7 linked regions of the Daphnia pulex genome follow. The protein of the gene in region 7 binds, or shares a complex with, the protein of the main gene of each other region. Links are inferred from orthologs where the notes say so. Each region holds a gene or a part of one and is shown on either strand. Other genes may lie near its edges.

Region 1 (3,973 bases), on a different chromosome or scaffold from region 7:
CTATTTTGTTACTAATCGACGATCGACGATTGCTGTTTTTTTTTTCTTAAACTAAAAAATAATAATATATTTTTTTTAACTTAAGCGAGTAACATTTTAAATTTCAACCAAATCATAGGATTTTTTAGCTTAAACTTTCTTCCACAGATGGATAGCATAGTATATTAGCGCTGAAATAATATGTGAATCCAATCGGTCCCATGTCCCCTCTATTGTGCATCGCGCTGTTTGTGGTGGTTTCAAGACAAGAAGCAAATTTTCTATTCGAAGATTTCAAAAATCAATCAGCAAATATTTGATGGCCGTCAGACCTCTGTCAGCGTCTGCCAGTGAAGCGCAGTGAAGTTCGTTGTGGACCAAAATTGTCCATAATTGAATTCGGAGGCATAACAAATTTGGACACATTTGCCTTATTTGGCTGCAGTGATGGATTCACCACAGATATGAATAATTTGGTGGATGAACGTCAGTGATCCATCAGGGAAATCTATATTGGTAGATAAATTATTTAAGCAATCTGCAATATCCTCAAATAACCCCGCCCGTGTTTGCTAGCGTCGAAACCAAAATGCGTCATCTCACTCAATTGATCAAATTCCATAAGTTCTTTCATACCTAAATTCACAAACAAATGTCGTTCCCTAATTTAATTTTTAATCCACCCAGTAAAAACTAAAAAGTTTTTGTGTACCTGGGTAGGCCAGAACTTTAATCTTTATGTACTTTTAAGAAATACTCGTTTGCGTACAGGACGTGTGGCCCAATGGATAAGGCGCCTGCCTACGGAGCAGGAGATTCCAGGTTCGATCCCTGGCACGTTCAAATTTTTTTTATTAACATTTTTTTATTATTTTTTGAATTCCCCGTCGTTTTCATAACAAAATGAATTTAATAATCGTGTTGCCCCACCTACGGAACAAAGGATTTTAGAATAGATTCCTCGCAGGATCGACCTTTAGTGGCTTATAAACTGGCTTAGTAAGTTAGTATCTGTATGCGCAGTATTTGCGATTGAAAAAGGGAGTTACGTTGTATTAAACTCAATTTAGACGCTCATTAATAAATGCTCCATTAATTAGATGGGATAAGATTAGAAAATTGGCTTGTCTTCATTTTCAATTTCGAGTTTTCGACTTCCGATTCCGAATTCCAAAATCCGAATTTTCCCCAAAAGTGATCAAAGCTTGAAATATGGCAACAGAGTAACCGGCAATATTTATTTCCAATTTTCATTTAGAAAAGAAATTTTTTCACGCAGTGCTGTTGAATGTTGATGATATAAATTTGAATCAGGTTTGTGGAAAATTTGAAGGACAATTGTAAACTATTAATTAAGGCTTTGGTCGTTTGAAAAAGGCCAATTGAATTCAGCTATGACAGATATCAAAGTAACACCACTTGGGGCTGGACAAGATGTGGGGAGAAGTTGTATTTTACTACAAATGGGAGGAAAGAATATCATGTTAGATTGTGGCATGCATATGGGGTACAATGATGAGGTAAGTTTAGTTTTGGTTGTTCAAACATCAAAGTTTTGTTTGTCCTTACCCAAATCTTTTATTCTGTAGCGACGGTTTCCAGACTTTTCATACATTGCTGACGGAAACTTGACAGAATCCCTAGATTGTGTCATCATATCCCATTTCCATCTAGATCATTGTGGGGCTTTACCATTTATGACTGAAATGGTTGGATATAATGGCCCAATTTACATGACTCATCCAACAAAGGCTATTGCTCCTATCCTTTTGGTAAGATTCTTTTTACATTTCACAAATTGGTATTATGTTACAGCATAATTTATACTTGCCAAACAGGAGGACATGAGGAAAGTGGCTGTAGAGAGAAAGGGTGAAACCAATTTTTTCACTTCAGCTCACATCAAGGATTGCATGAAAAAGGTTATTGCTGTCACTCTGCATCAAACTGTTCAAGTATACCATTATTTACTTCAGCCAGGGTTTTCATATCTTGATTAATTTTTTTTTGTTATAGGTAGACTCAGAAATTGAAATAAAAGCTTACTATGCTGGTCATGTGTTGGGTGCAGCCATGTTTCACGTCAAAGTAGGCAACCAATCTGTGGTGTACACTGTAAGTTAATATTGGAAATCTTGGTTCTGTGCATACCTGTAAAATATATCTATTAGGGAGATTATAACATGACTCCGGATCGACACTTGGGTGCCGCCTGGATCGACAAATGCCGACCCAACATACTTATATCGGAATCCACTTATGCTACAACTATCCGTGACTCTAAACGCTGTCGAGAGCGGGATTTCTTAAAGAAAGTACATGATTGTGTAGACAGAGGAGGCAAAGTTCTCATTCCCGTGTTTGCACTTGGTCGAGCTCAAGAACTTTGTATTCTTTTGGAAACTTATTGGGAACGAATGAATCTTAAAGCGCCAATCTACTTTGCTGTGGGTCTCACTGAAAAGGTAACTTCGATTGAAATAGTTAATCTTTTGAATCCTCTTAAACTTTTTTCCCTTTTCATAGGCCAACAATTACTACAAAATGTTCATCACCTGGACCAATCAAAAGATTCGCAAGACTTTTGTTCAAAGAAACATGTTCGAGTTCAAACACATCCGTCCTTTCGATAAAAGTTACGCCGATACACCTGGTCCAATGGTCGTTTTCGCCACTCCTGGGATGCTTCACGCAGGTCTTTCTTTGCAACTCTTCAAAAAATGGGCACCCAATGAAAATAACATGGTAGGAAGAGATAAATTATAATACAAATGTATATTTTCAATTATTTCAACTAACTGGAATCCTTTTTTCCCCACGTAGTTAATTATGCCTGGTTACTGTGTCTCTGGAACGGTTGGTGCCAAAGTTCTCAGTGGTGCTAAAAAAGTTGAAATTGAAAACAGACAAGTTATCGAAGTGAAAATGTCTGTTCAGGTGAGTTATTAGGATTCACTAATACGCCAAATATCTGTCAATTAATCCCATTCATTTGTTATCAGTACATGTCATTTAGCGCTCATGCCGACGCCAAGGGTATCATGCAATTAATCCAATATTGCGAGCCTCAAAATGTGCTCCTTGTTCACGGAGAGGGCGTAAAAATGGAGTTCTTGAAACAGAAAATTCAACAAGAGTACGGTATCGACTGTTACATGCCGGCAAACGGGGAGTCGGCGTACATTCCATGCAAACCTGTTGTTCCTGTCGATGTATCACTTTCATTGCTGAAAAAAGAAATGGCTCTCTATGATACGGTTGGCGCACCAGACCCGAAACGACCTTGCCGTATGCATGGTGTGCTCGTCATGAAAGACAACGTAAGTGTACTTGATTTAGCTATACTTTCTGCCTACATTTTTATTCATTGTTTTGGCCATAGGTTCTCAAGCTTATGGAACCCGAGCAGGCATTCGGTGAACTAGGTTTAAACCGGCATTCTATCCGATTCACTTCCTGTATCCAACTAAGATTACCCGGAACCGCTATTAGAGCTATGGATCAGATACAGCTTATTTTGAATTCGTAAGAATTCTCAATACTTTTTTTTAAAGATAATATAACTTGAGCATCTTTTGTTTAAATTTACAGACAAAATACTAACTACCCGGTTAAACCGTCTGACGAGGGGTTACTCAATTTGGAGTCGGTTAGTATTAAAATGGAGACGACAGACAAAGAAGATCGCAAATCCATGATGATCTCCTGGGCCTTGCAGGTTAATTGTTGTTTTTAAAAACAAAACCTAATAAAGTTACTGAGTTTCTATTATTTTCTAGGACGAAGATTTAGCAACGTGGATTATGTCTTCACTACGACAAGTCATTGTTTGATAAGGTCGCGTAATCTCTGTGAATTACCTTTCATGAAATGAATACCCTCAATATGTATTGATAAAAAAATGATTAATTTTTTAAATATCACTTTCACGAATATTTCCGATTGTCCGAGTGTAAATTATTTCCTTAATGTTCACATACTTGTGGATCCCAAC
Region 2 (3,926 bases), on a different chromosome or scaffold from region 7:
TGGTATGACACGTTTGGATCTTTTTTCACATTTCACGCCTTGGCCGACTTGATCTGGGATGCAATTCTGTCCAAATCGCGGAATCCTTGAGAGGTGAGACGGCGACCACCATTGGCGTCCTTCTCCACCAACTTGATGGCTTCGAGGGCCTGCAACACCTTACGGGCGACTGAGCCGGAGCTGCCGCAGAAATGGGATGGCCTCACACCATTGTTTTTGTGTCCTGCATAAATAATATCTCATTAAGCAAAAGAATTCTTTCAAATATTTGATGGTTTCCATCATACCTCCATAGATTCTCTTGACGGTCTTGACTCCGATGGGAGACCTGATGTAGATGTGCCTGGCCAGAGATGCCATACGGATGAGGAACCAATCTTCATCAAAAGGTGCCAACTCCTTGAAGACGGCAGTCTTAACAAGGTCAGCCCATTCTGGTACCTTCACTTTGCCAGACCTGATAAACCCGAACATCAACATAAGTACACTCAGAAGCAAAGTTTGATTTCAGACTTTTAAACTCACTTTTTAAAGAAGGCAGCCAAGGCCCTGACAAACTTGTGTTGATCGACGTCTTTGACAGAGACTGATTTCATCTGAAAATATACAAGAAAAGAAAAGATACCGTTAACGACTTGTCAATTGCTAGGGAAAGTCACATGTAGAGCGATGTTGGTAAAGAATTGACAAAAGTTAATGAAAATGACGCCATGTGCAAAACTTTTTAAAACTACAAAATTACAGCTATAGATGTTAGATTAATTTGTATAAAGAAATAGTACTTTATTCTAATTGTAACACTGAAAAATGTGGAAACTTCACCTTCGATGATGGCTGGCTGCGAACGATTTTTTTGCCGAAAGAGGAACTCTAGTAGCTGCCAACTGCCGATGAAACCCCTGATGCTCGATCCCTAAACACAAAAGAAGGGGCAATTTTTAGGAATTTCTTTGCAATTAAAAGATGATTTTAATTGAAAACTAAAATATATGATTTGCAATATTTAAGAATTTTTATTTAAACATTATTTGTATATGTTATTTCAATCGGAATCGAATAATTCCAATATATTCATAAATGGAAACTTTGAAGAGAGGAGAGCGTGTGGGCCGTGGGGTTACTGATTAGCACTTTGCCGGAATTTAAAGGGGATAGGATGTCAAGAGGGACAACAACATTGAACTTCAAAATATTCGAAGGAAAAGATAGTTTATTCAAGATTTATTAACCGAGGATAAAATGGTTTCCGTTGGTTTGAGAACCGCATTTAATGAACATTTATTTGGAGAACCAGAACAAGATGCAAACACAGCTTTAACAGAGCTAGACAAAGGTAGTTTACATGTTTTAACCTACTATAGCTATAGCTGACAATTTCCATAATGAAATTTTATTTTTATGTTATTAAAGCTTCTGATGATAATTTCCAAATCTTTAAAAAATTTTCAGGGTTACGCTCTGTGAGAATTGGTGAACAATGTGAGGCCATTGTTCGTTTCCCTAGACTCTTTGAAAAGTACCCATTTCCGATTCTGATAAATTCAGCATTACTGAAGCTGGCAGAGGTTTTCAGGACAGGGTATGAATTTACAAGTGTTAATGTTTGTTTATAATATCCAATCTGTGTTTCCGTCTTTCTTTAGAACAAATTTCCCCAGACTGTGTGTTCTTAGAGTCTGCCAGCAAAGTGAAAAGCATCTAGACAAGATCCTCAATGTGGATGAATTTGTCAAAAGAATATTCACAGTTATTCATTCAAATGATCCAGTAATTTTGCAAATTATTCTCATTTTGAATCAATCAATATTAATTCTCTTATGGTTAGATTGCAAGATCTCTGGCACTGAGAACTTTGGGGAGTATGGCAATAATTATTTCTGATCGGAAATCAGTGCATCACAGCATTCGCGACAGTTTGGACTCGCACGATGCTGTAGAGTTAGAGGCAGCCATCTACGCCGCATCCAAGTTTGCCGCACAGTCTCGAACCTTTTCCGTCAACATGTGCAGTAAAATTGCCGAGATGATTCAGGGACTGGCCACACCTGTAAATATCAAGCTCAAGCTCATCCCCATCTTGCAGTACATGCACCATGATGCCCACACGGCCGCCATGGTTCGACGTTTGTGCGCACAGCTCTTGCCCAGCTACCCTGCCCAAAATTTCGTCTGTGTGACACTGCACACACTGACGCTGCTGGCCAGTGAAACTCTGGTCGAAATCCCTCAACAGCTACTCCTGCTTCTTGAATATTTGTGCGATTCCAGGAGAGGTGTCCAGGCTCAAGTTTTGTCCGACTTGAAAATTTTGGCTGTCAAAGGTGCTCATCTGTGGACTACGTCCAACGTGGATGGCCTCATTGACCTACTGCTAGATCAGCCTCACCTCGAATTGCAGAGAAGAACGCTGGACGTTCTAGTCACGCTAGCCATGGCTGAAGCTGCAAACTGTTTTATCCTCAAAGCTGGTAATTCAGTTTTTAAAAATCAAGATACCTTTTTGTCGATTTCATTAAGCATTTTTATTAGATACAAAGTTACACTTGATTTGGAATCAGTGCTGCTATAGTTGCGACCGGTCTGTTGCAGCGAAAGCAGTTCAGCTACTTGTCCAACTAGTATTTATATCTAGCAAACAAGATATATTATCTTCTTCAGTGCCCGATTTGAGCCAAGACGCTGCCCTTGCTGTCGAATCGCTCATATTGGGCCTCTGCTTGGCGGGAAAGACCGAAGAGAGGGAACTTAAGATTGCGTTGACATCAGCCGTCCAGCTGAGTCGTGTCGCCGGGCCAGAAATCAGCGCCACCATCATTGATTGCCTCACTCGCCTTTTGCTTCAATCTTCCGGTTCCACGTTAGTCCTGCTGTGCCAGGCCCTGGCTGCCATCGGAGACACCCAACCGTCTGCCATTGTACCAGCATTGGTCGACATCATGTCAATGCTAAAGAAACTCACCGTTCAAAGCGATCAAGAGTTGTTGGCAATTCCTTTATTGTGCGTTCTCATGTTCCAGACGCACGCCTCTCATTGTTGGTCTCAACAGGCCAGCGAAGTGGTCCACGAAGCCATCTTCCGGGTCGACTTGTGGGTGGCTTTCCGGATCGCCCGCTCTGCCACAAGGTATAATTCCTTGAGCTTTAAATGTTTTCAATCTAGTTGGTAATTAATTTCTTATTTGGTTGTTTAGATACGGCCACCATTCGATTGCCCACAAGATACTGGATCGCTTGTTGGGCCACATTTCGACGGAGCATCTCTACTTTTGGATTCAGGGATTACGCGATTTCACCCTGGCCGAATCTCACCTGAGTTGCGGCACTGGACCCCCCGATGGTGCAGCCGTTTCTCTCATGGAAAGATTAGTGTTGGCCTCGAAGCTTTATCTGCAAGGATTGTCTTCACTGAAGGCAGCCACCAGCCCGACCCGCGTTCTTCAGTTTCAAGCCGAATTCGGTCGGTTGCGAGTCGAATTCCTGTCGGCGTGCTCTCAACTTGTCCAGGCTTGTCGAACGCTTCAGACAGCCCCACCGCCGGCCATCGCTCACGCCGTAGCGGCTGCCACCCGAGACGAACTGCAGCGCTGCGGTCGAATTACTCACCAGCTGAGGAAGTCGGTGGTGGTGCTCCGTCAGGTGGCCGAAGCCCTGTCCAAGCTGGGACAAAGCGCCTTCGACGCCGACCAGGAGAGCCTCACGAATTTGCAGCTACAAAAGCAGATGGCCTTGATCTTGGCCCAGACGGTCGAGTCCACCTGCCTCCGGGCGTCTCAGCAAGGCGTGATGACTGTCGAAGACGATTTGCCCATGATCAACAAGACGGTTCAAGCGGATCACGTCGCTGTGCGGAGTATGGCCACTCGATGCGCTGATGCCGTCGATCTCGTAAGACGTTTTCGCGATGGCAACCCTGATTTGAAACTTAT
Region 3 (3,186 bases), on a different chromosome or scaffold from region 7:
CATACAACATCTAAATATTTATCACGACGCCCACCCCTCGGAAAATCCATGGCCTATCTTAGATGACTCTCCGGATATACGGGAGAGAGGGGACCGACCAGCAGGATGTAGAGAAAAAGGCAGTAGAGGAGTTAATCTTCATGATCATCATCTGTCAGGAATCAGTCATTTAATTGAGAGAGAGAATAAGGACATTGGCAATATGAGAGACTTTCTAAATCGAGGATGCAGGATGCATCACTGATTCTCTCATTTCTAAACAATCTTCCTTTTTTTTCTTTACCGTCTGGCTGGGGGGTTTTACTTGAAACCTAAATTTAGAAGCTAGAAGTTATCTGGTGGTTGCAGCCAACACAAACAAACAGCAATTTCCTGAGAAATTCACACCAACTTCTGGCTGATGAAGGAATGAAACAAATGACCTGTTAGAGATTAAAAAGGAATTTAAATGATTTACCTGTTCCTGTCGGCTGGCTCAAATGTAGACATGGCAGCAAGCGAAATGGGGTGGAAGCTTGCACAATCCAAGAATTTGTTCGTCAATTAGAAAATCCCCTCACACCCTTTTGTGAGGTGACTAAATGTCTTTTATCTCGACTTGAAAACAATCGACAACCGTGTCCAACAGGCCTCACATCCTCACTGAACCTCATACAGCACATATAACATCACTTTGATATGTAATCATCACAGGAGACGTGATATAACTAGTAACCTTTCGATCGTTCAAACGGATTCTATAATCACCAAATCAACTACACATCTCCTTTTCGTTGTGAGGTAATCACAGAGAGAAGAACAACGGCTATCTTGATCCTAAAAATTTGTGTTAAAAAATAACTCGTCGAAAGCTAAAACCAAACCAGCAACAGCGAGTCCGTCTGTGCAGAAGCAGAATATGAATGTCTTTCTGGCTAGACTCACAAATCTATCTAAGCCGTCGTTAGCAAACTACCGCTAGGTGTCATCGCTGAGTCTTATCGCTATTTATAGAATTCTTGATAAAACTCCGAATTTCTTTCTTTTTTAAAAATAAGACATCACATTGCGCGCTAATTAAATTTGGTGTCAAAATTTGCATACTTTTTGTTCATTAATAAAAAGAAAGTGTTGAAAATAAAATTGCACAATTTATTGAATCTGCCACCAGAGGGCCATTTCCTTCTTCACATTTATTTTGAAGTTGATGTTGATTCGGACAGAAGTGCTGTCGTGAATGGTTTGCTTTGAAAATAGCTCCAAGAACTCATTACAAATATTTACTATTATTAATATTTTAAATTCTAAGTTTGATAATGGATGGTCTTATTGAACCATATTTAATTAAAGCTATCAGTCTTTTGCATTCTAGTGCTAAAGATTCTGGTGACCAATTGAAATCTATGTTGGATGAAGCCATAAGATTAAAGAATGAAACCAACTCTTCTGTCAGCAAGTTGCCACCACCTTTGACGATGATCAAAAGGGTAATATATTTTTACTTTTTTTATGCTGTTGTGATTAAATCTCTTGCATTACAGGAAACAAAGAAGAAAAGTGACTTCTTCATTGATGAAGATGTTCCTCTCAGTAAAAGAAGGAAGGAATCTCCTCGATCTTCACAACCTTCATCTCCATCTTCTAGGTATGTATCCACAGTTTTGGATAAACTTTATACTAGTTAACTAAGTCTTGTATTACAGTGTTCTTGAGAAAAACAAGGAATCTAAGCGAAAACATGATAACATGTTCAATGATGATGAAGTTGTTCCAAAGAAATTCAAAGATTCCCCTCGTTCTTCACAGCCTGGCTCACCAGCTGGGAGGTGTTTTCCATTTGATTTCTTATTTATTAATTTTATTTTTAAAATTATATTTTCCTAGTTCACCACGAAATTCGAGATCTCCAAGTGTGGCTCGAAAAAGCGACGACCTCGATTCTTTGAATGACGCCGATGACTTGGCTCAGGAAATTATGGATCTTCACTGTGTTATTTGCACGTAAGTCTTATTGTTTGTTATAGTGATAAAAATATTCAAACTTTTTCCTCTCTCTACGTAACAGTGGCCTGGATGTTACTTCTGGAAATCAGCTCGTAGAGTGCCAAGAATGTCACGGCCTTTATCACCAGGAATGCCACCAACCGAATATTAGCGACGCCGAAGTTAACGATCCTCGATCCGTCTTTTTCTGTTCCGATTGTAGCAAGTCAATGAAAAAGACCGCTAGTCGACCTAAATCAAGTAGCAGTAGGGAAAGTCCCATCACTTTCTATAAAAGTCGATCTGACTCTCCGAGTTCCGTGAGTGGCAAAAGCTCAGCCGGCCTGGTAGTTAACTTCAGCAAACAGCAAACCTTGCCCCAGAAGCCAAATGGCGGCAGCGGTGCTTCAAGTAAGTCAACAAGCTCATCGAGCAGCAGTAGCAATTCTTCATCTGGAAATACTATTGGCAACACATCCCTCATTAACGCCGATAAACGACTGCAGAACATTAAGAAACGGGCTGCCACAAAATTGCAAGAAAAACGGAAACCTGGAAAATAGTCGGTTGTATATTAAACAGGCACCATCTTTCCGTGTTGTTTATTTCGGATTCCATTCTCTTATACAATTTCGCAAAAATTATTTTTTATTTTTGGCTTTTTTTAAGTCGAATCCTTGGATAAATTGCCTGTTAGAAAAAAGATAAAATTTTGTAAAGTTAATATTTATTTCTATTATTTTATTATTTAGTTTTAAAAAAATTACTTGGGAATTCCGTATTCATCGATGAGCAAATTTCCGACAAAACTAATTTGGTTACCCTGTACCAACACCAATTGACCCTTTTTAGCTGGAGAGCTGGTTATTGTTGTGCTAGCCGCCACGCCTACTTGGCACCTATTCAAACAGACAAGAGAAATTCGCTTACTTTTAAGAGACCCCTTCACCTAAAGAATGTGAGACCATTGGTACCTTCGAGCAAATTCGTCCAAGTCGATCCTGTACGTCTCAAGGCCACTGATGAGGGTGACCTTCTTGTTGCCAGCTCTCGATGCCGTGGTAATCTCGACTGGCTCCAACTCTCCTTTCACGATGACGGGAGCCGACTGGTTTGGGAAGATCATTTCATAAACTGTTGAAAGTTTAGCTTGACAGCGGCTCATTAGCTCTTCCCAGCTAAGCGAAGCTGCTACTTCGCCTTTTTTTAACATGACGTCACTCA
Region 4 (3,996 bases), on a different chromosome or scaffold from region 7:
CGTCTGCCAGCTTTTTAAACGTTCTCGTTTTTTCTTTTAAATGTTTTTTTTTCCTCCATCGTTTGCAATTTTCTAAAAGACAATAAAGGTAAAAAAAAAATAATAATTAAAGATTTCAAAATAGTTGAATCCGAGCCGAAAGAGAGAAGAAACGAACAATTTAAGTACTAGGGAAATAAAGAAATGGAGAATGGCTACGTGAAAACTTTGTTGCGATTGCGGGCCCCTGTAAAGATATCAAGGAAGAGATTCAAGAATCATCAATCATTTTTCCCCCCTGCGTGTGAGTGAGCGTGTGTGAAAGCGTGTGCGTGAGTTAATGTACTGCTATCCCCCCTCCCCCCACATTTCTTTCTTGGCAACACACAACATCAACAATATGTAAAAGGATTGTGAAAACCTCTTTTACTTCCCCCTAATGGCTAAATATTACTTTCGCACGCCCTGCACTCCCACCCACCAACGCTCTTTCGGCTAATAATCACCTATTTTATTATTAACTGTATTCGTGTCAAAAGTCATGAAAGAAAATGTCGTCCCTTCGTTTTTTTTCCCCCTCTTGCTCGATTCCATAATTTCTTTTTGTTTTCTCTTTTGTGTTTGTGGGGTTTCATGATTTTCAATTTCAAATTTGCCGCGCACAGCAACGGTTTGCCTTTGCTTTTATTTTTCTCTCCCCCCCCCCCCTATTTTCTGTTGTTGATAGTCACGCCAATGTCCAGCCGAGGTGATTGTGTCCACTGCTGCTTCTTCCTACTCTCTTCTCTACTTCTTACAACCACATGGTAATTAATTTAAAATATTGATTGCGCTGATTTTTTTTTTAATTGGATGAGTTTCGTTTTTATACGTTCAAAGATTGTGTTTCCTTTCCGTCTTCAACTTTTGGATGCAATACCCTCCACATTTTGTAATCCATTACGTGAGAAGTGCGAGTTACAACATTGTAGCGCAAATAAATGAAAAGCAATGGGGAGAAACGTCTTTTTAAATCATTATAAGTTTATAACTTGCTATTATCATGTCCGTTGAGTGCAACATTAGTGCCCCTTGTAGCTTTGATCATCTTGTCATCTGCTCAGTCGGATGACGTGAGTCGTGAGCTATCCGAGCAATCCGGATTCGCCCTAATAAGGCGCCGTGTAAACTGTAGTTCCTACGTTTTGCCGCTAGAGGATCAGAATCAGTTTCGTCTGCTCGTTGCCTTGACAACACAATGGTTCACATGAAAATCAAGCTTGCTATGTAAACCACTCCATGGCGATTTGTTGATTGATTGTGGTCTTAAAAACACAATATTTTGCCAATAAAATGCCGATGCCACCGATTCGTTCCGTTTCGAAACGAAATGTTTCGCCTCGTGTGTTTCAAGCTCTACAGAATTTGGATGTAGATAACTTAGCGGAATGTAACGAAGAAGAAATTCGAGCTGTTATGCCATGTTTGGCTAGAATGAGTTTGATAGGCCCACTGGACCAATCTAGTGAATGCACCAAATCTCGAAGAATGGTCTTCCAAATATTATCCGGTCGTGAAATTGTCAATTCCATAGTTGGGTTACTTTCAATTGATTTCCATGCTCTTGAGGTTGACGTCAAGAAAGAACAAATGCTACGGTATTTTCTTTACTATTGTTATGACTACTTCTTTTATTTTTAATCAAAATTTGTATTGCAGTCAAAAGCTTGGTAATCAAACTGAAGACTCTGTCTTGATTCAGTCACTATCAAACAGTTATGCACTGGAATTTGAAAGGAGTGATCCAACGAGGAAATTAAGGCTGTTTCTCAGTGAGCTCCTCACACTCATGGCACAAGTAGATTCCTCATAAAGCATTCATTTTCCACAATATTATTGTTTCTTATTTTAATTTCTAGAGCAAAGAAATCAGACCAGAAACCACATACAAAAGCAGTGAACTGTTGGACCAGGAAATCTATTTTGATGAAGTAGCTGATGTGCTGTGTGTTGCTTTAGCAGAGCTGACAATTCTGCTACCTATAACAGAAGTTGCAGAAGCTCTCTTGAGAACACTTCACGGTCCATCTTTCATATGTCGAATAGTGGCTAATATGCCTGATACTTTCAATGAAGGTAATATTTTTCCAAAGTGTGGTTTGAACTATATTTTAGAAGTAGTTTGTTTCAAGTTTGCCAGAGTTTGATTAGCAATGGTGAAAGATATGAAGAAGAATCCTTCCTTGGACGGGCCAGATTAGAAACACTTAGATCCCTCTGCAGGATGTGCCCAAATCAGATTTTGATGATCCAACTTAAATGTGTAAGTTTTTTTATCTCTGACAAAGCTTTGTTCTCTTTAGTTTAAGGTTTTTTTCCCTATCAGGTGGAGATGTGCAGAATGCCGGCTCTGGCTGTTTTACTTAGTTTGGACTATGCATCCTGCCATAAAATGATCAAAACAGATAAAATTGAAACCCAGTTGGGAGATGTCGTACCGTTTATCTCTGGTCTACTTTTGGGTGGAGATGCAAATATCCGCACCTGGTTTTCTCTTTTCATTAGGAATGGACAAAAGGTTTAGCTTTCTTTAAATGTACTTTATGTTAGCCGTCAACGTATTTAACTCTATTTCCTTATTTTACAGCGACATGATCGTGCCACTGCGTTACATACTTTACGCCAAGAGCTACTGAGAAGTTTGCAGTCGTTTGTTCAAATGGCTGCTGATGAGCCGTTACCTGACCGTTGTGCTGTTGATGCGTCGGCCCTTTTACGACTGTATTGTGCTTTAAAAGTAATTCTATTCATTCCAATAATAGTATGTTAGATAGGGGTGTTGGAATTGAAAAACTAACCCTTTATTTCAATATTTGTAGGGTATAGCAGGAATGAAGTTGTACGACGAAGAAGGTGGGCTTTTATTGCAATTAATTACCTGTCGTCCACCGCCAACCGAAGCTGGCCTTCGTTTCGTTGCCCTGGGACTCTGCATGCTGATGGCTTGTCCATCTCTCATCGCCTTGCCCGACCAAGAACAAAGCGGTTTTCGATGGGTATAATCGCAAGTTATTCGTAATTAATATCAGTTGTTATATTTTGTGATTTTAGGTGAAATGGTTGGTGAGGGAAGAAAGCTACTTTGAAAAATCGCCAGCGACTTCCTCTGGCAAGTGCATGGAAACAGCGAGGAGCAGTTTTGGAGAGATGTTATTACTAATGGCTATCCACTTTCACAGTGGACAGTTGAGCGCAGTTTGCGACCTGGTCTGCTCAACGCTTGGCATGAGGCTTTTACTCCGGCCCGCTTCTACTGCTCGTATGAAGGTGGCATTTACTCAAGACATATTCCCAGAGCAGGTTTGAGCTTTGTTAACAAGTTTATTTGGTCAAAATCTTATCCTTTTAAATTCGAATGTTAGGTGGTGACATCTCACGCTGTCCGAGTGCCCGTCACTCCCGGTTTGAATGCAGACGTTGCAGGATTCCTTCCAGTTCACTGCATCTATCAGTTGTTGAAAAGCCGAGCTTTTAGTAAGCATCGCGTGCCGATCAAGACCTGGGTTTACCGCCAGCTTTGCGAGAGCCGTCCTCCATTGCATCCACTTCTTCCTAGTTTGGTCGAAGTTTATGTTAGCTCGATCCTGACGTTATCTCCATCGAAAAACCAACAGAATCAATCGGGCGTAGCTGGTTCCATTGACATTGGCCATGACCCAATCAGCGAAGAGGAAATTCGAGTTGTGTTCGCCAACAGTTTTTCCAGGAACGTTCGCCGAGCTAGCACAGACGGGCAGGAGCATTCCGTCACGGCCCAGCTTTTACTTTTATATTACGCTCTACTGTATGAGGATACTCGTCTGACTCAAGTCAAAAACTACTTGGTGGCTGGTATCAATATCAAATCCTATTCTCAGTCGTTCTTCGCCGATTTGCCTATTCGATATTTGATCAGTCAAGCGGAAAAAGAACAACACCTTTATGCGGGTAACATTTAAAAGCAAGATTGGCCATTTTCTCCAATCCGCATGTTAATCC
Region 5 (4,093 bases), on a different chromosome or scaffold from region 7:
ATGGTTAAAACGGTCAGACGAGGTCACACACAACAAACACGTCGTAAGCAAGCTGCTGCTGCTTCCTCTTCTTTCTCTCTTCGAGTGTTGAGAGACACATCTCACATTGCTCCGGCTTCAATTTCTTGTAAGAGCCTTTAGCAGCAGCAGCTATCGTGTGTTGGAACACACATTTTTCTTCTTCTCTCGATAGATCACTCAACCGACCCAGCAGAGTATCGACATTTTTTTCTCTTTTTTCATTTCTGGTGAATAAGGGGGGAGGCCCCTGAGCTCTTTTGATTTCCCAACTACACTACTGTACTACTACTACCACCTACCCCATGGTATATATCAAACACACACACAAAAGCTTCTCTTTTTCATTCTTTTCTTTCCTTTTTGATATGGGAAAAGGGCCAGCAGCCGGGCAGATGTTTCCCATTTTGTAAAAGACCGTTCACTCTCTCCTTTTTGCTCACGTATATATATATATATACAGAGGAAAAATGCTCTCCCCTCTTTGGGTATAGTCGTTGGTCGTCTCCGACACCCATTTGTGATGTGTGTGTTGTGTTCCCCCCCATCGTATTTCATTTCCCTTTCTCTCCCCCTTAGTAACCGTGTCTGCTCTTATTTCTCTCTTCTCACACAGACACACAGCAGACTCCCGACCAAACACAGAGGCCAAGCCGATCATCGACCATGTTGTTTTCTTCATTTTCTTGCTTGGGTCTTGCTTATTGGATTCTTTTTATTGTGTGTGTGTTTTTTTTCTTCTGTTGTTGCAGGGGCATCAAATATATATAGGAGGCATTTCGACACCGGAAGCTGAAGGAGCATCACGTATCATCTCTCGCTGTGGAGAAAATGGTTCAATGACTTGGCCTTATCATTCACCAGTCCGGTTAGATTTTTTGGAAAGTTCCTTTTTCTTGGTTGCACCAAGATTTAGTTGAACACCCTACTGGACGGAGAACTGATAAGGGCGTGTCTTGCAACACAATCGACGAAATGGACGAATTTTTTTTTTTTGACAACCAACAAAACTGTATAGAGTGATATAATATTCTTTCGTTCTTAATCATTGACAAAATGTGTGTAACTTTGTAGCTTCTTTTGTTTCGCTTGTTTGTTGCGTATCCGATGGCGTTATTCAATACACATTCTCAAAAGCGAATATGTGATTCAGATTTCAATTTTTATTCTAGATTTATTTCTTTCGCGTTCCGGCGCTCTTATTTAAAAAAATAAAATAATAAAATAAAATGAACCTATCTTTTCAAGTTGAAAAATGACAACGCTGCATTGGGTTTTCAAATGTTAGTCTGCTAGCAGCTCGTGTAGTAAGTACGAACCGGACAAACAAACAAGTCTGGATCTGTCTGTCATATACCGAGTTTGAAATAAAAATTCTTTCTTGTCACTTTTCAGATAAAACGCGCCCACAACATGAAAATCGTAAGCATTTTAATATTTTCCTTTCACCGAAATGGAGCGGTCTGATAAACACAGTTTCTGTTTACATAGTACAGTCTGGGCGCCAACCCAAATAAACCCTGCAACATCTTGAATTTCAAAGGCGTTTCGCTGATGCTCGATTGTGGGCTGGATATCAACTCGGCCCTTCATTTTCTACCTCTGCCTCTCGTTGCCAGCAAAAGGCTCTCAAATTTACCAAACTGGATCCCGAGAGACACACAGGATGCTGCACTTCTTGATGGAGTGAGTTAGATTTGATCTCTTCTCTATCTTCGTGTCATTTCAAATGTTCATTTATCCTGTATAGGAACTGAAAGAATGTGAAAATCGAGTGTTGGTGGATGGCCCAATAGAGATACTGCCCCCTCAGTCAGACATTTTTGACATCTCTGATGTGGATACCATCTTGCTATCGAATCATGCCTGCATGCTGGCCCTGCCATTCATCACTGAAGAAACTGGCTTTAAAGGGAGGGTATATGCAACTGAACCCACCTTGCAGATTGGAAGGTATGCAACCTGCAATTGTTGTCACACAATATTGAGACTATATTGTATTCTTTGTCGTAGGCTCTACATGGAAGAACTGGTCAACTACTTGGAAAGGACTCCCAAAAATCAGCGAGCAAACAGATGGAAGCAAGTACTCCAGTCTCTTCCTCCTCCTCTCAGTGGGGCTCTGAGACCAAATGATTGGAAGAAAGTCTATTCCACAAAAGCCATCAATGCAGCCCTGGCAAAAGTTCGCATGGTTGGCTTCAACGAAAAAATTGTACGTCCTTTTTCGGATTTTTAAAAAATTCTTATGAAACAATATTAACCGACAACTTTTAGGATATCTGTGGTGCTTTAACTGTGATGGCCGTCAGTTCTGGATATTCCCTTGGTAGTTGCAATTGGATCATTCATTCCGGCTATGAGAAGATTGCGTACGTGAGCGCTTCATCTACTCTCACGACCCACCCAAGGTTCTATAAGCTTAATTAGTGTTACTTTTTTAACAAATTAATTTTATACCATTTTTTCCATATACAGGCCGATGGATCAAGTTGCCCTTAGAAATGCCGATCTCTTGATCTTGACAGCGTTGACTCAGACCCCCGTGGCCAATCCAGATTCAATGTTGGGCGAATTCTGCATGGCAGTTGGTAATTCAAATAGTAAAATTCTATTAAATTACATTAGAAAAAAACTAACAATGTTTCCTTAAACCTTTTGCAGCATCCACGTTACGATCGGGCGGATCTTGCCTAGTCCCATGTCACCCTTCCGGCCTTCTTTACGATCTGTTCGAATGTCTCTCAGTTCATTTAGACAATATTGGTCTTAGTCAGATTCCGCTGTTTTTCTTCTCTCCCGTGGCCGAAACTTCCTTGGCTTATTCCAACATCTTCGCTGAATGGTTCGGCTTGTCACATTTATTATTTTTCCGAAAATGTTTAGTCAACTTATCATCCTCATTTCATATAGGTTATCTTCAGGCAAGCAGAGCAAAGTTTATCTCCCAGAAGAACCATTTCCTCACGCCCATCTCATCAAAAATGGTCGACTGAAACACTTCCCAAGCCTGCATGCCGAAGGATTCACCAACGAGTACAGACAGCCATGTGTCGTATTTTGCGGTCATCCTTCCCTTCGTTTTGGCAATGTAGTTCACTTCATAGAGTTATGGGGCAGTCATAGCAACCACAGTATCGTCTTCGTTGAACCCGATTTCCCTTACCTGGAAGCGCTGGCCCCCTATCAACCACTGACCATGAAAATCGTTCACTGTCCCATTGACACGAGTTTGAGCTTCACTCAAGCCAATAAACTGATACGCGATCTCAAGCCAGGAAACTTACTCGTTCCAGACGTTTACCTCCACCCGCCAGTGTCGGCTCCCTTAAGATCAGACTTGGTTATTCAGGGTAAGTCTTCGATCGATTCCTGTTGAACTGGATCTAGTTGGCCAGTCAGTTAACCTTATTCTTTCTTTTTTTTTAGAATTGGATCCACCAGCATTGGGTATGAAGTCCTACCAGGTGTTACAGTTACCAATTAAGAGGAAGCAGGAAAAAGTGCATCTTGATCCGGCCCTGGCCTCTCGTCTCGAACCCATCCAATTTAAAACGGGCCTTTCAGCTTCTACTCTGACTGGAAAATTGGATGCTCGTGACAATAAATTTACTCTGAAAGTGAGTCCTTTGTTCTCCTAACTTGTGACAGTGTCTCATAGCTTTTTACTATTTTCAAATCTAGGTATTAAACGAAGAGGAAGGAGGCACATTGTACAGTGCGTCGGAGAGAATGCTGCCTCGCCATCCTTGGGGCTCTGTTGACACAACTCAACTGTTGCATTTGCTCAGTCAACATGGTTTGCTAGATGCTCGGGTCGAAGACACTCCTCGAGGCGTCGTCATTCACTTGGTACTACCCCGTATATCATTTTGTCATTTCAAGAGTCGTAATAACTTGTCTTTCCAATTTTGTCTTTTAGCCAAGAGAGGACACTGTGATTCAACTGGAAGGTTCCAACACTCATGTTTACTGCCATGATGAAGCGCTACGGAGAACTTTGAGGGATATTTTGCTACAATGTCTACCTTGTTTGTGAACATCACCATAAATACATTCGAATTTTTCTCTTATA
Region 6 (3,960 bases), on a different chromosome or scaffold from region 7:
CCTAGGTCTTCCAGGCGCTTTCTTAACTAAGAGTGGATTTTTTACCCGCCTAAAGAAAGAATTTTAAAAATATCTATATTGAATCAATGGCAGTTATTGTTTAAATATTTGTCATACCTTATTTCTTTTGTAGGAGATTTTGGTTTTGAACGGTTCGTCTTTTTGCTATTTTTTGTCGGAGTCAAGTCCCACTTGGTAGGTGCCACACTAGCAATTACTTCTTCTGTGGATACAGCAGGGACTTCTGCTTCATAAACAATGTCACCCATAGAAAAGTGAAAGGTTGGTTCTTCGTTTGTAACTTCCACTTCATTGATGAACTGAGGAGGTGATGGGGTATTGGAAATGTGAACTGAGGAACTTGTAATAAGTTCTGGATGTGATTTAATGTAACTTTTCACTTGAAGAGTAGTCTTGGTTCCAACTGCTCTAGCAACCTTGCTCCAATTTTGATTGTGTAGACCCTTTAATAAAAGTATCAAGTAAGTTACACAGTCCTGCCATAATCAGTAACCACTCCGACACTTACAATTCCTTTACGAAGAGATGCAACATCATCTTTAGTCCACATAGGACTCACTTTTGAAGCAACTACAGCAGATGTTGTGGTTGATGGAGGGTTTGCCATGGGTAAACTGTTTGAAAAGTGTTTTTTCTCTTCATGGAGCATATTCTCCCAATTAAGTGTTTTGTTCTTATCTTCATTGGCATGATCCATCATTGGCATATTCCAAACCTGTGAGAAAGTTAGATCTTGCTGTACCCAAATATAAACCACTTTGAATAAAAATTTACTTGTGAACTTTCAAGAAGCCAAGGATGTTGCATATAATCGCCCAATAATTCCGAATTCTGTGTAGGAAACTCCCCGGCATCGTATTGGTTCAAATCCGTCCTGTGATCAAATGTCAGTTAGTACAAATAACATGCAAACAAAAGCTTGTACATACTCAAGATTTAGACAGAAATCCCCTAGAACATCAACTTCATCGTCGTCTTCCATTTTTCTTAACGAATGTGTTTTCACAACAAGCTTGATGCCTCTATCACTAATTATATGCCAATTTGCTGCAGACGACGTGTTGAGGGGGGGGGGAGGAAAATGTCGTATGCGATTCGCTTTACAAACAGAAATGCAACCACGCTTTCTTGCAGAAGACACTCGCAGACTCGGCTCAACCAAAAACAAAATCAGTTTCGAAGAGGTGTTAATGCTGGACGGTAGTTATAATGGATCGGGGCAAGAATTTGCCGCCTAAAAACTCCAAGTCAAAACCCCTTGGATTCTCTGGTGATTTTATTGCTCTTGGACCAAAGCAAAGTCGAGCAGAACCAGTTGATGCAAAGAAATCAGGATCTTCTTCAGGTGGTCCATCAAAACCCACTCCTGCTCCACTTCCTTCTTTGGGTAAAATGAGAACAAAAATATTTCTATTTCCATTCTTTCTTTCCCTGGTCCTGACCCTGACCAATAACTTGCTTATCATATCCTTTTATAAATTAAGTTTGAACATGGATTATAAAATTTTAAACTTATCCACATTCCTGTTTAACAATCTCTTTTAACTCGGTTCAGCTACTATTATTATTTATTCTTTCAGTCTGTACATTAGCCTTAAAGAATGATATGTTTCATGACTGTGTAGGTCCTTCAGATAAAAAGCGGGAAGCACCAAGCCAGCTGCCAGGTTCATCTCAAAATCCAGCTAAGAAAGCAAAGCCTGGGCTCCCAAATACTGCATCCTTTACTGCATTGGGAAGACCTGCTTTGAAGGCTGCTGATCCTCCCAGTCCAGGTTCGACTGGTAACAGACTAGAGCCATGGGAAGAAGCTGCTATAGAGGTAGAGTTACTCAATCTTCTGGATTTTATCAATTTATCTTTAAATAATGTTTCTTTATAAAAATTTATTCAAGATTGAAGCATCAGAGTTGTTGAATGCTATTGGAGAGGCTGAAAGTAATGATGATGAAGAAAGAATTGAAGCAATCCTATGTGGATCAGTTAAGCAACTGAAAGCCTTTAGTCTGAGTCAACGGAATAAAGTGGAACCCATTCTTGCACTAGCCCTTGTCTACTTAGCTAAATGGAGATCGCAATATTTCAACACCGAATTGATTGTTGAAGCTTTATTGGTATTACTCAAACGAGACGTTACCGCCAGTATTGGTCCTTTTAAAGGAAGGACAACTGCTTCTGCAGCTTCACTGGCTTGCAATTTGTTGTTAGCCGGTCTAGAAGATTCAACGGAATGGCCAGAATCTTTCTTGAAAGTTTTTGTCGAAGATTCCGTTGGAGAACGAGTTTGGGTAGATCGCGAAGAATGTCAAGGGTTTGTCGAGAATATCCTAACGGCATTCAACACCAAAGTCCCTTCAAGGAACATCCTTCAACAAGAAAGTGCTACTGGCACTGGACTTGGATCTTCTGGTGCTGCTAGTTCTCCTAGTATAACTTCTCTTGGCACCACTGGTCTTGAAGATGATGCCAGCGTGGATTCAGATAACAGTCAGGGTGGGCTGCTTCGAGGTTCAACTCATCTCGATCAGCAACAGGTAACAAGTGGGATTTAAATTATGCACATAGTTGTATTTTCATTGTTACCTTTTTCTTAGGTTCGAGTTATTCCTCGATTTCAACATCTCAAAGACATGGCAGAAGCACTTGTCATGGAAATAGTAAATCAACATTTAAGCAGGTATTAAAATATTTGAGTTGCATTAAGGTTAGGGTAATATAATCAATGGTTTCTCAGACGGCAGCAACCGGCATCTGACCTCACTACAAGGAACTTCTTAAAGTTTTTGACATCAACAGCTGGTTTGCCCGCTGTAAGAACTCAAGCTGCCCAGCGATTGGAAATGTGGCTTTCCAATCAAAAACTTGTGAGACCAGCCACCGACCTCCTCCTCTCGATCTGCGTCAATTGCAGTACCGAAGCTCCTACAGACACAGATGTTCTAAATGCTCTTCTACGTTTGAGATTAAAGGTAGTAATAACGTCAATGTTTTTGTTTTAATTTCAGAACAAAAATAGTAATACTTTCTTCTTTTGATTTTCAGAGTAAACCGCTGCTCCAGACATATCTAACTTGTTTTAAAGAATTGGTCGAGCAGCAGGTGGACCAGCTTCCACTCATTGTGCGGTTGTTAATATTCAATGAGCTCTCCCCTTCTCGAGGACCGAATAACATGGCAGTACTGGCTGTTTTGGTCCAACCGTGGCCTGATCGTGCTGCCACAATTTTAGCGGACGTTTTTATGGAACTTCTACTCAATCGTGACGATTACCTTCGGGCACTCAGGTATTTTGCATTTGCAATTCACAGACGTGGACTGGGTATAATTAATGTTATATGTTTTTAGAGCACTATTACGTGAAGTGGTTCGCGCTCTCCGCCACGACTTACCTTTACCGACATTTTGTGCAGCTCTTTTACACGGTTGTATGCAAGAGAGACGCAAAGTTGCAATCAGAGAATTCGAATTCAAGGTTCGGTAGTATTTAAAAAAAACCATGTTAGTAGCAATACGAAATAATATAATGACTTTTGATACCAGGATCGGCTTTTGAATTCATTGGCAGACTTGACGACTTTATGCATTTTCCTTGCCATAAGTCCAGGTGTGCGTGAATCAGCATCTTTGGTCGCCCGTGGAGATTTGAGAGAGATGGAACTTTTCCGACAGTTTCACGTCCAAGCATCGGCCGTCCAAAGAGAATCGATCAGCTGGTTAAGAACGTCCATCCCGTCCGTGTTTGAGCCCAATCGGGTCGATTATATGCACTGTCTCCGTAAAGTAAGTGTTGTAACGTTCAATTAATAGTTCATTAAATCTTAACCTACAACTTTATTTTAGGTTTTGTTTATGGAAAGTGGAGAGCATTATTACAATAAAGACGGTTGGCCACTCGAGTCGGATCGACCCATTATGATAAGATTGGCTTCTGAAATTCCC
Region 7 (4,147 bases):
CAATCTGCATTTTAAAATATAAGTGAATTTTACTGTTTAATTAAATTATACAGAAAACATAATGTTTTTTTACCTTCTAGAAAACACACAATCACTGACATTTCTTTCGATGGTTCCAGGCTGAGAGTACTCTTGGAATCACAACCAGCAGCGGAACAAAGCAGGGGACAGAGACTTCTGTATAATTTCATAAAATTTACATTAAATGTGCAATAAAAAAATTTCTATTTCTAAATTTACAACATTGCTTCACCATACTCTCTATCACTGTGCTCTGATAAAATCACGATTCACGATGGCAATTATGGAAAAAGTTCAGTGCTTCCACTTTCAAATCGCTGAAGCTTGTTCCAATTCCCCAGACGACAATGTTGTCATGAGGTTAGAGTTCTTGACACCGAAACGTATTGGAACAGAGTGCTGTCTTTAAAGATCGACGGGAAGCCTAGATTTCCCAATCTCAGCATTTGTATTGACTTTCTGTTTTCCATGCCGTTCAGCAATGTTATAGCTGAACGGGAATTTAGTGCTTTTAAACTGATCAAAACGGACCATCGTAATCCGCTTCACAATCTAACTGTTTGTTCTCTCCTTCGAATCAAGCATTGGGGGTCTTACGAAGATCATTCTGCTTCTAGTGTCCTTATCCCTAAAACACTTGTCGATAAAGTTAAGTCCGTTAAGGCTAATGTCTCCATTGCAAATGGAATGTTGAGGGGTCGCAATACCAATAACAACCGTCAGGGTAAGCCGATGACTGATGGAGTCGCATAGGGTGGCCACAATTATGGAAAGACGGACTTCAAATACATAAAAACACTAAAAAGGCTCTCAGGTACCGCAAAATAAAATAGGGGTGATCCCTCAAGGGACGAGGGGTGGGCTCAGGGGTGCGCAAAGGGGCGGCCAAGGACGCTACGGAAGCCCGGTAAACCAAAAACTTTAAAGTCGATTTACTCAGGGATGCGTTCATTTGCACAAACTTTCCCATATACCATTCGAATCGGCTTAACGAGCTCTATCGAATGGCATTAAGTTTGATTATTATTATTATTATTATTGGAGATTCCGTGCCACTCTAGGCCACTGCCGGGTTTTTAACCTTTTATATGTTCTTACCGTTAACTTCCAACAACCTCCCAAAAAATGTGAAAACTTTTTCAATGTGAGAATGTTATTCGGAAATGTCCAGTCAAACACTTGTCAAAAAGCAATAAAGAAATTCGTTTTGTTTTTTCAATTTCTTTTCTTTTTCTTTTTTTTTCATTGAAATGAACAGGGTTTTTTGGGGGGGTTTTCCCTCGAAAACAGAAAACTTTAAATAAGGTTTTCTGGCAACGCCACGGCGTATCCCAGAAACAACAGAAGTGGAAGCACTGGAAAAGTTACTGTTTAGCACATACTAAATGTGGCAGACAGGGAGACAGCCACAGCTGTAAATCATACATTGTTTACAAAATTTACAAGAAGTAAGAAACGAAATATTCCAAAAAGACAAAAAAAAGTGCCGCTGCTTGCTGATCGAAATCTGTAGAACAGAGAACAAAATCAAATAGCCTACTATGGCGGTATTGAAAAAAAGAGCTTTAGCTGAATATAGTCAAGTTGTACAGGTACAAGCAGAAGCAAATGAATAATTTGAATATACATTTGTAATCTATATTTAAACTAAATGTTTAGGAGGAAGCATGTAGTAAGCCTTTACAGTTAATGAAGAAACCTCACCTTTCAAGTGCAGTAGAGGATGAACATGTAACCGTCAATACATTTGAAAAACTAGAAACAAGTGAAGCATTGGTGGCCTATTTAAACCATATCCAGCTCAATCTTTCATTCCAAGTAAGATTAAAGACTGTTAGAAGATATGTTTATGTGTTGTTTTTACTTTACTGTAGGTCATACAAATATTGCCGTCATCACTAATCAAATTGTTTTAATTTATTTCATTCTTTAGACTGATGACAAAGTTGTTCTTTTGAGAAAGCTTATTGACACTTACCATCATAGTGAACAGTCTTATGTACGCCTGAAAATTGTTTGCATTTTAGGTGACTTTAGGAAAGTTCCAAAATTTGATGTTCAGGTAATATGCTTTGTTAAATAAATTTCCATTATTTGTTTGTGATGCATTATTTGTTTTTTTATTATAGATTATAATCAATGAAATAATAAAACTTATTTCAACTGAGACTTCACATAAAGTATGTGCTTCAATGATATGCACATTGAAAAAGGTATCTATATAACAACTAGTCGTAATATACTATAACTGTTACCTAGATAATAATTAATTGTCTGTGATTTTTTTGTGTTACAAATAGCTAGGCAGTTTGCTTTCATCTGATAGCCCAGTGCTTGGAAAAATTATTGCCATTGGCACTAAGGTATGTAGGCTATCAGCTTAACATTTAAGCATTTTATCAGTCTATATATTATTGTAATATATTTAAATGAATTTGCAGTTACTTAACAATTCCAATCACCTGGTGAAATGCCACTGTCTTTCTTTACTTGGAGGCTTGAGAAGTCTTAATAATCTTCAAGGTGAAAATGTAAAACTCATCTGTAAATTTACGAAATCTCAAGATCCTCGAGTGCGTACGGCTGCTTATGATGCACTGGTAAGAATATCCTATTTGTACTCTTTTTTTCTATCACTATTCTCTTCAATGACTCCGCTTCTTTATACATCAATATATATTGGTCTTATTATTATTTATATAGCTCCAATTGCATGACCGGGGGCAAAAATTAGAGCTGTGCATATATTCAGATGTGTGCTCAGCCTTACAAGATGACAACGAAAATGTGAGACAGTCAGCAATGCGAATTATCTGGGTTTTATCTCATACATATCCTGAAAGGTAAAACCAATGCTCTGAATATTTAAAGCAAAACTCAATAACTAATAATAATTTTTTCTGTAGTTGCGTTGTTATTCCTGGATGCCAAGATGAAGTGCACTTAGTCGATGATGCTTTCGCTAAGATTTGTCAAGCTATAGGTGATTTATCAGTTAATGTAAGAACATTAGCTGCAGAGTTACTAGGATCCATGGTCAATGTAAATCCACATTTCTTGGAACAAACCTTGGACAAAAAGTTGATGTCTGATATGAGGGTACATATTTATCGACTTTTTTTTACATATACACTCGACTTTTCTTATTATGAGCGAGTAATTTTAAAATTTATTTTTATTATTATTAATTTTGTTTTTTCTCCCAAAATAGCGCAAACGATCCGCCCACGAAAGGCATTGGGAAACTGTTACATCAGGAGAATGGGCTAGTGGTGCACGTTGGGCAGATGATAAACCTAGAGAAAATTTAGATGCCGAATCCGTTTCTCTTATACATAGTGGGGCTTGTGGAGCATTCGTTCATGGTCTCGAAGATGAGTTTATGGGTAAATGTGATTTTATATTCCCCCTGCTTTTGATTAATTCGACTTCAGTTCATTCAAATATTATCCTCTACAAACCTTAACCCTTTCAAATGGTGTTTATCTTACTTTATAGAGGTTCGAAGTGCTTCTCTCGATTCGCTATGCCAATTGGCGCTTTCCAATCCAAGGTTTGCAACACTTTCTTTGGATTTCCTTGTAGAGTAAGTAATGCATTAAAATGCTGTTGTATTATGCTTGATCATTTAATAATTTTCCGGCACCCGGCAGTATGTTTAATGACGAGATTGAGGAGGTGCGTCTGAAAGCCATAGACTGTATGACCAAGATTAGCCAACTTATTGTGTTACGTGAAGATCAATTGGAAATCATCCTAGGAGTGCTGGAGGTATGGCGTATCTATTTTTTAGTACAAAATTCAGAGTTACTTTATTAAAAGTTGCAAATCGTAGGATTCTAATGTTGAAATCCGCGAAGGATTACATCGAATGTTGGGAGCGTGTCGTCTCTCTACAAAGGCTTGTCTTAAGCTGTGTGTTCAGGCTTTGCTTGATAATCTAAAACGTTATTCTCAAGTATGTTTTCTGAATGCTTCGCCTAATTGAAGGTATCTCATGCGTAATTTAAAATCTGTTTAGGATAAACGTTCGATATGGCGTTGTCTGCAGTTGCTAGGACCCCGCCATCCAGATTTGACACTTCTCCTTGTTCCTGAATTATTAACCGTTCACCCTTTTTTTGAT

Evidence for each region.
Region 1: the proteins of integrator complex subunit 4-like (region 7) and integrator complex subunit 11-like are in contact, whole or in part, in a cryo-EM structure (PDB 7BFP), measured with the Homo sapiens proteins. The link is inferred for Daphnia pulex from reciprocal best matches to the Homo sapiens genes INTS4 and INTS11. Residues at the interface, in NP_291025.3 of Homo sapiens: Leu159, Asp161, Thr162, Arg167, Tyr203, Gln207, Asp244, Ser292, Gly294, Trp296, Arg299, Lys323, Met326, Ser327, Asp328; in NP_060341.2 of Homo sapiens: Pro183, Trp191, Lys194, Asp212, Gln288, Gln400, Gln404, Lys462, Met465, Ala466, Leu469.
Region 2: the proteins of integrator complex subunit 4-like (region 7) and integrator complex subunit 7-like are in contact, whole or in part, in a cryo-EM structure (PDB 8RC4), measured with the Homo sapiens proteins. The link is inferred for Daphnia pulex from reciprocal best matches to the Homo sapiens genes INTS4 and INTS7. Residues at the interface, in NP_291025.3 of Homo sapiens: Glu536, Met539, Asp540, Arg571, His572, Ala574, Tyr575, Asp578, Ser579, Ser610, Phe613, Arg620, Leu624, Leu627, Gly631, Glu634, Leu635, Phe638, Arg641, Asp642, Arg645, Leu646, Glu648, Leu649, Gln650, Lys677, Leu678, Trp679, Asn680, Val681; in NP_056249.1 of Homo sapiens: Lys137, Asn138, His140, His141, Arg144, Gln145, Gly175, His205, His206, Asp207, Ala208, Ser244, Ser245, Leu246, Val247, Lys282, Thr283, Pro284, His285, Thr286, Thr321, Ile322, Lys325, His326, Gly686, Tyr689, Glu704, Gln707, Gln708, Leu711.
Region 3: integrator complex subunit 4-like (region 7) and integrator complex subunit 12-like share a complex: the UniProt entries of both Homo sapiens proteins name them as parts of the integrator complex. The link is inferred for Daphnia pulex from reciprocal best matches to the Homo sapiens genes INTS4 and INTS12.
Region 4: integrator complex subunit 4-like (region 7) and integrator complex subunit 2-like share a complex: the UniProt entries of both Homo sapiens proteins name them as parts of the integrator complex. The link is inferred for Daphnia pulex from reciprocal best matches to the Homo sapiens genes INTS4 and INTS2.
Region 5: the proteins of integrator complex subunit 4-like (region 7) and integrator complex subunit 9-like are in contact, whole or in part, in a cryo-EM structure (PDB 8RC4), measured with the Homo sapiens proteins. The link is inferred for Daphnia pulex from reciprocal best matches to the Homo sapiens genes INTS4 and INTS9. Residues at the interface, in NP_291025.3 of Homo sapiens: Leu53, Gln54, Leu57, Gln58, Arg61, Lys62, Pro86, Ser87, Leu90, Lys91, Ser94, Gln125, Gln129, Asp132, His164, Gln207, Asp208, Pro209, Arg210, Arg212, Asp244, Tyr245, Glu246, Gln247, Trp296, Phe837, Gly840, Leu841, Val842, Val843; in NP_060720.2 of Homo sapiens: Lys2, Tyr4, Lys18, Ser21, Thr22, Leu43, Val44, Gln45, Glu87, Glu89, Leu90, Asp92, Asp97, Thr122, Glu145, Arg146, Val147, Pro148, Lys159, Glu174, Ser176, Thr177, Ser192, Gln195, Phe206, Gly207, Ile379, His380, Ser384, Asn385.
Region 6: integrator complex subunit 4-like (region 7) and integrator complex subunit 1-like share a complex: the UniProt entries of both Homo sapiens proteins name them as parts of the integrator complex. The link is inferred for Daphnia pulex from reciprocal best matches to the Homo sapiens genes INTS4 and INTS1.

Annotation. Positions count from the first base shown.
Region 1 is NC_060018.1:12,410,290-12,414,262, reverse strand, and holds integrator complex subunit 11-like, read left to right. Parts: upstream 1-1,173; 5' UTR 1,174-1,293; exon of another isoform or gene 1,294-1,356; 5' UTR 1,357-1,373; coding exon 1,374-1,499; intron 1,500-1,568; coding exon 1,569-1,751; intron 1,752-1,817; coding exon 1,818-1,934; intron 1,935-1,995; coding exon 1,996-2,094; intron 2,095-2,150; coding exon 2,151-2,444; intron 2,445-2,505; coding exon 2,506-2,724; intron 2,725-2,802; coding exon 2,803-2,916; intron 2,917-2,981; coding exon 2,982-3,299; intron 3,300-3,361; coding exon 3,362-3,504; intron 3,505-3,570; coding exon 3,571-3,697; intron 3,698-3,758; coding exon 3,759-3,812; 3' UTR 3,813-3,914; downstream 3,915-3,973.
Region 2 is NC_060021.1:1,404,129-1,408,054, forward strand, and holds the start of integrator complex subunit 7-like, read left to right. Parts: upstream 1-1,126; 5' UTR 1,127-1,239; coding exon 1,240-1,333; intron 1,334-1,449; coding exon 1,450-1,579; intron 1,580-1,643; coding exon 1,644-1,767; intron 1,768-1,825; coding exon 1,826-2,468; intron 2,469-2,529; coding exon 2,530-3,124; intron 3,125-3,191; coding exon 3,192-3,926. Other genes in the region: 40S ribosomal protein S19-like, read right to left, coding at 33-223, 288-457, 526-596. UniProt on the Homo sapiens protein: Component of the integrator complex, a multiprotein complex that terminates RNA polymerase II (Pol II) transcription in the promoter-proximal region of genes.
Region 3 is NC_060026.1:13,198,591-13,201,776, reverse strand, and holds integrator complex subunit 12-like, read left to right. Parts: upstream 1-1,173; 5' UTR 1,174-1,295; coding exon 1,296-1,466; intron 1,467-1,520; coding exon 1,521-1,624; intron 1,625-1,682; coding exon 1,683-1,805; intron 1,806-1,863; coding exon 1,864-1,980; intron 1,981-2,044; coding exon 2,045-2,525; 3' UTR 2,526-2,603; coding exon of another isoform or gene 2,604-2,652; 3' UTR 2,653-2,686; downstream 2,687-3,186. Other genes in the region: adapter molecule Crk-like, read right to left, coding at 458-489; eukaryotic translation initiation factor 2D-like, read right to left, coding at 2,604-2,652, 2,730-2,861, 2,937-3,186. UniProt on the Homo sapiens protein: Component of the integrator complex, a multiprotein complex that terminates RNA polymerase II (Pol II) transcription in the promoter-proximal region of genes.
Region 4 is NC_060027.1:806,229-810,224, reverse strand, and holds the start of integrator complex subunit 2-like, read left to right. Parts: upstream 1-1,196; 5' UTR 1,197-1,311; coding exon 1,312-1,616; intron 1,617-1,677; coding exon 1,678-1,816; intron 1,817-1,877; coding exon 1,878-2,094; intron 2,095-2,150; coding exon 2,151-2,281; intron 2,282-2,344; coding exon 2,345-2,536; intron 2,537-2,605; coding exon 2,606-2,755; intron 2,756-2,837; coding exon 2,838-3,014; intron 3,015-3,069; coding exon 3,070-3,318; intron 3,319-3,380; coding exon 3,381-3,945; intron 3,946-3,996. UniProt on the Homo sapiens protein: Component of the integrator complex, a multiprotein complex that terminates RNA polymerase II (Pol II) transcription in the promoter-proximal region of genes.
Region 5 is NC_060027.1:3,457,078-3,461,170, reverse strand, and holds the start of integrator complex subunit 9-like, read left to right. Parts: upstream 1-1,293; 5' UTR 1,294-1,431; coding exon 1,432-1,440; intron 1,441-1,509; coding exon 1,510-1,704; intron 1,705-1,768; coding exon 1,769-1,971; intron 1,972-2,031; coding exon 2,032-2,233; exon of another isoform or gene 2,234-2,295; coding exon 2,296-2,429; exon of another isoform or gene 2,430-2,496; coding exon 2,497-2,609; intron 2,610-2,673; exon of another isoform or gene 2,674-2,682; coding exon 2,683-2,863; intron 2,864-2,931; coding exon 2,932-3,371; intron 3,372-3,447; coding exon 3,448-3,638; intron 3,639-3,702; coding exon 3,703-3,870; intron 3,871-3,940; coding exon 3,941-4,057; 3' UTR 4,058-4,093. UniProt on the Homo sapiens protein: Component of the integrator complex, a multiprotein complex that terminates RNA polymerase II (Pol II) transcription in the promoter-proximal region of genes.
Region 6 is NC_060019.1:12,571,749-12,575,708, reverse strand, and holds the start of integrator complex subunit 1-like, read left to right. Parts: upstream 1-1,160; 5' UTR 1,161-1,230; coding exon 1,231-1,408; intron 1,409-1,646; coding exon 1,647-1,843; intron 1,844-1,916; coding exon 1,917-2,555; intron 2,556-2,615; coding exon 2,616-2,698; intron 2,699-2,755; coding exon 2,756-2,990; intron 2,991-3,063; coding exon 3,064-3,305; intron 3,306-3,366; coding exon 3,367-3,493; intron 3,494-3,561; coding exon 3,562-3,801; intron 3,802-3,861; coding exon 3,862-3,960. Other genes in the region: histone H2A deubiquitinase MYSM1-like, read right to left, coding at 1-49, 118-464, 530-736, 796-895, 951-1,003. UniProt on the Homo sapiens protein: Component of the integrator complex, a multiprotein complex that terminates RNA polymerase II (Pol II) transcription in the promoter-proximal region of genes.
Region 7 is NC_060025.1:5,267,393-5,271,539, reverse strand, and holds the start of integrator complex subunit 4-like, read left to right. Parts: upstream 1-1,347; 5' UTR 1,348-1,562; coding exon 1,563-1,613; intron 1,614-1,680; coding exon 1,681-1,839; intron 1,840-1,954; coding exon 1,955-2,083; intron 2,084-2,150; coding exon 2,151-2,234; intron 2,235-2,321; coding exon 2,322-2,384; intron 2,385-2,462; coding exon 2,463-2,621; intron 2,622-2,724; coding exon 2,725-2,864; intron 2,865-2,927; coding exon 2,928-3,120; intron 3,121-3,232; coding exon 3,233-3,407; intron 3,408-3,519; coding exon 3,520-3,607; intron 3,608-3,674; coding exon 3,675-3,792; intron 3,793-3,856; coding exon 3,857-3,979; intron 3,980-4,042; coding exon 4,043-4,147. UniProt on the Homo sapiens protein: Component of the integrator complex, a multiprotein complex that terminates RNA polymerase II (Pol II) transcription in the promoter-proximal region of genes.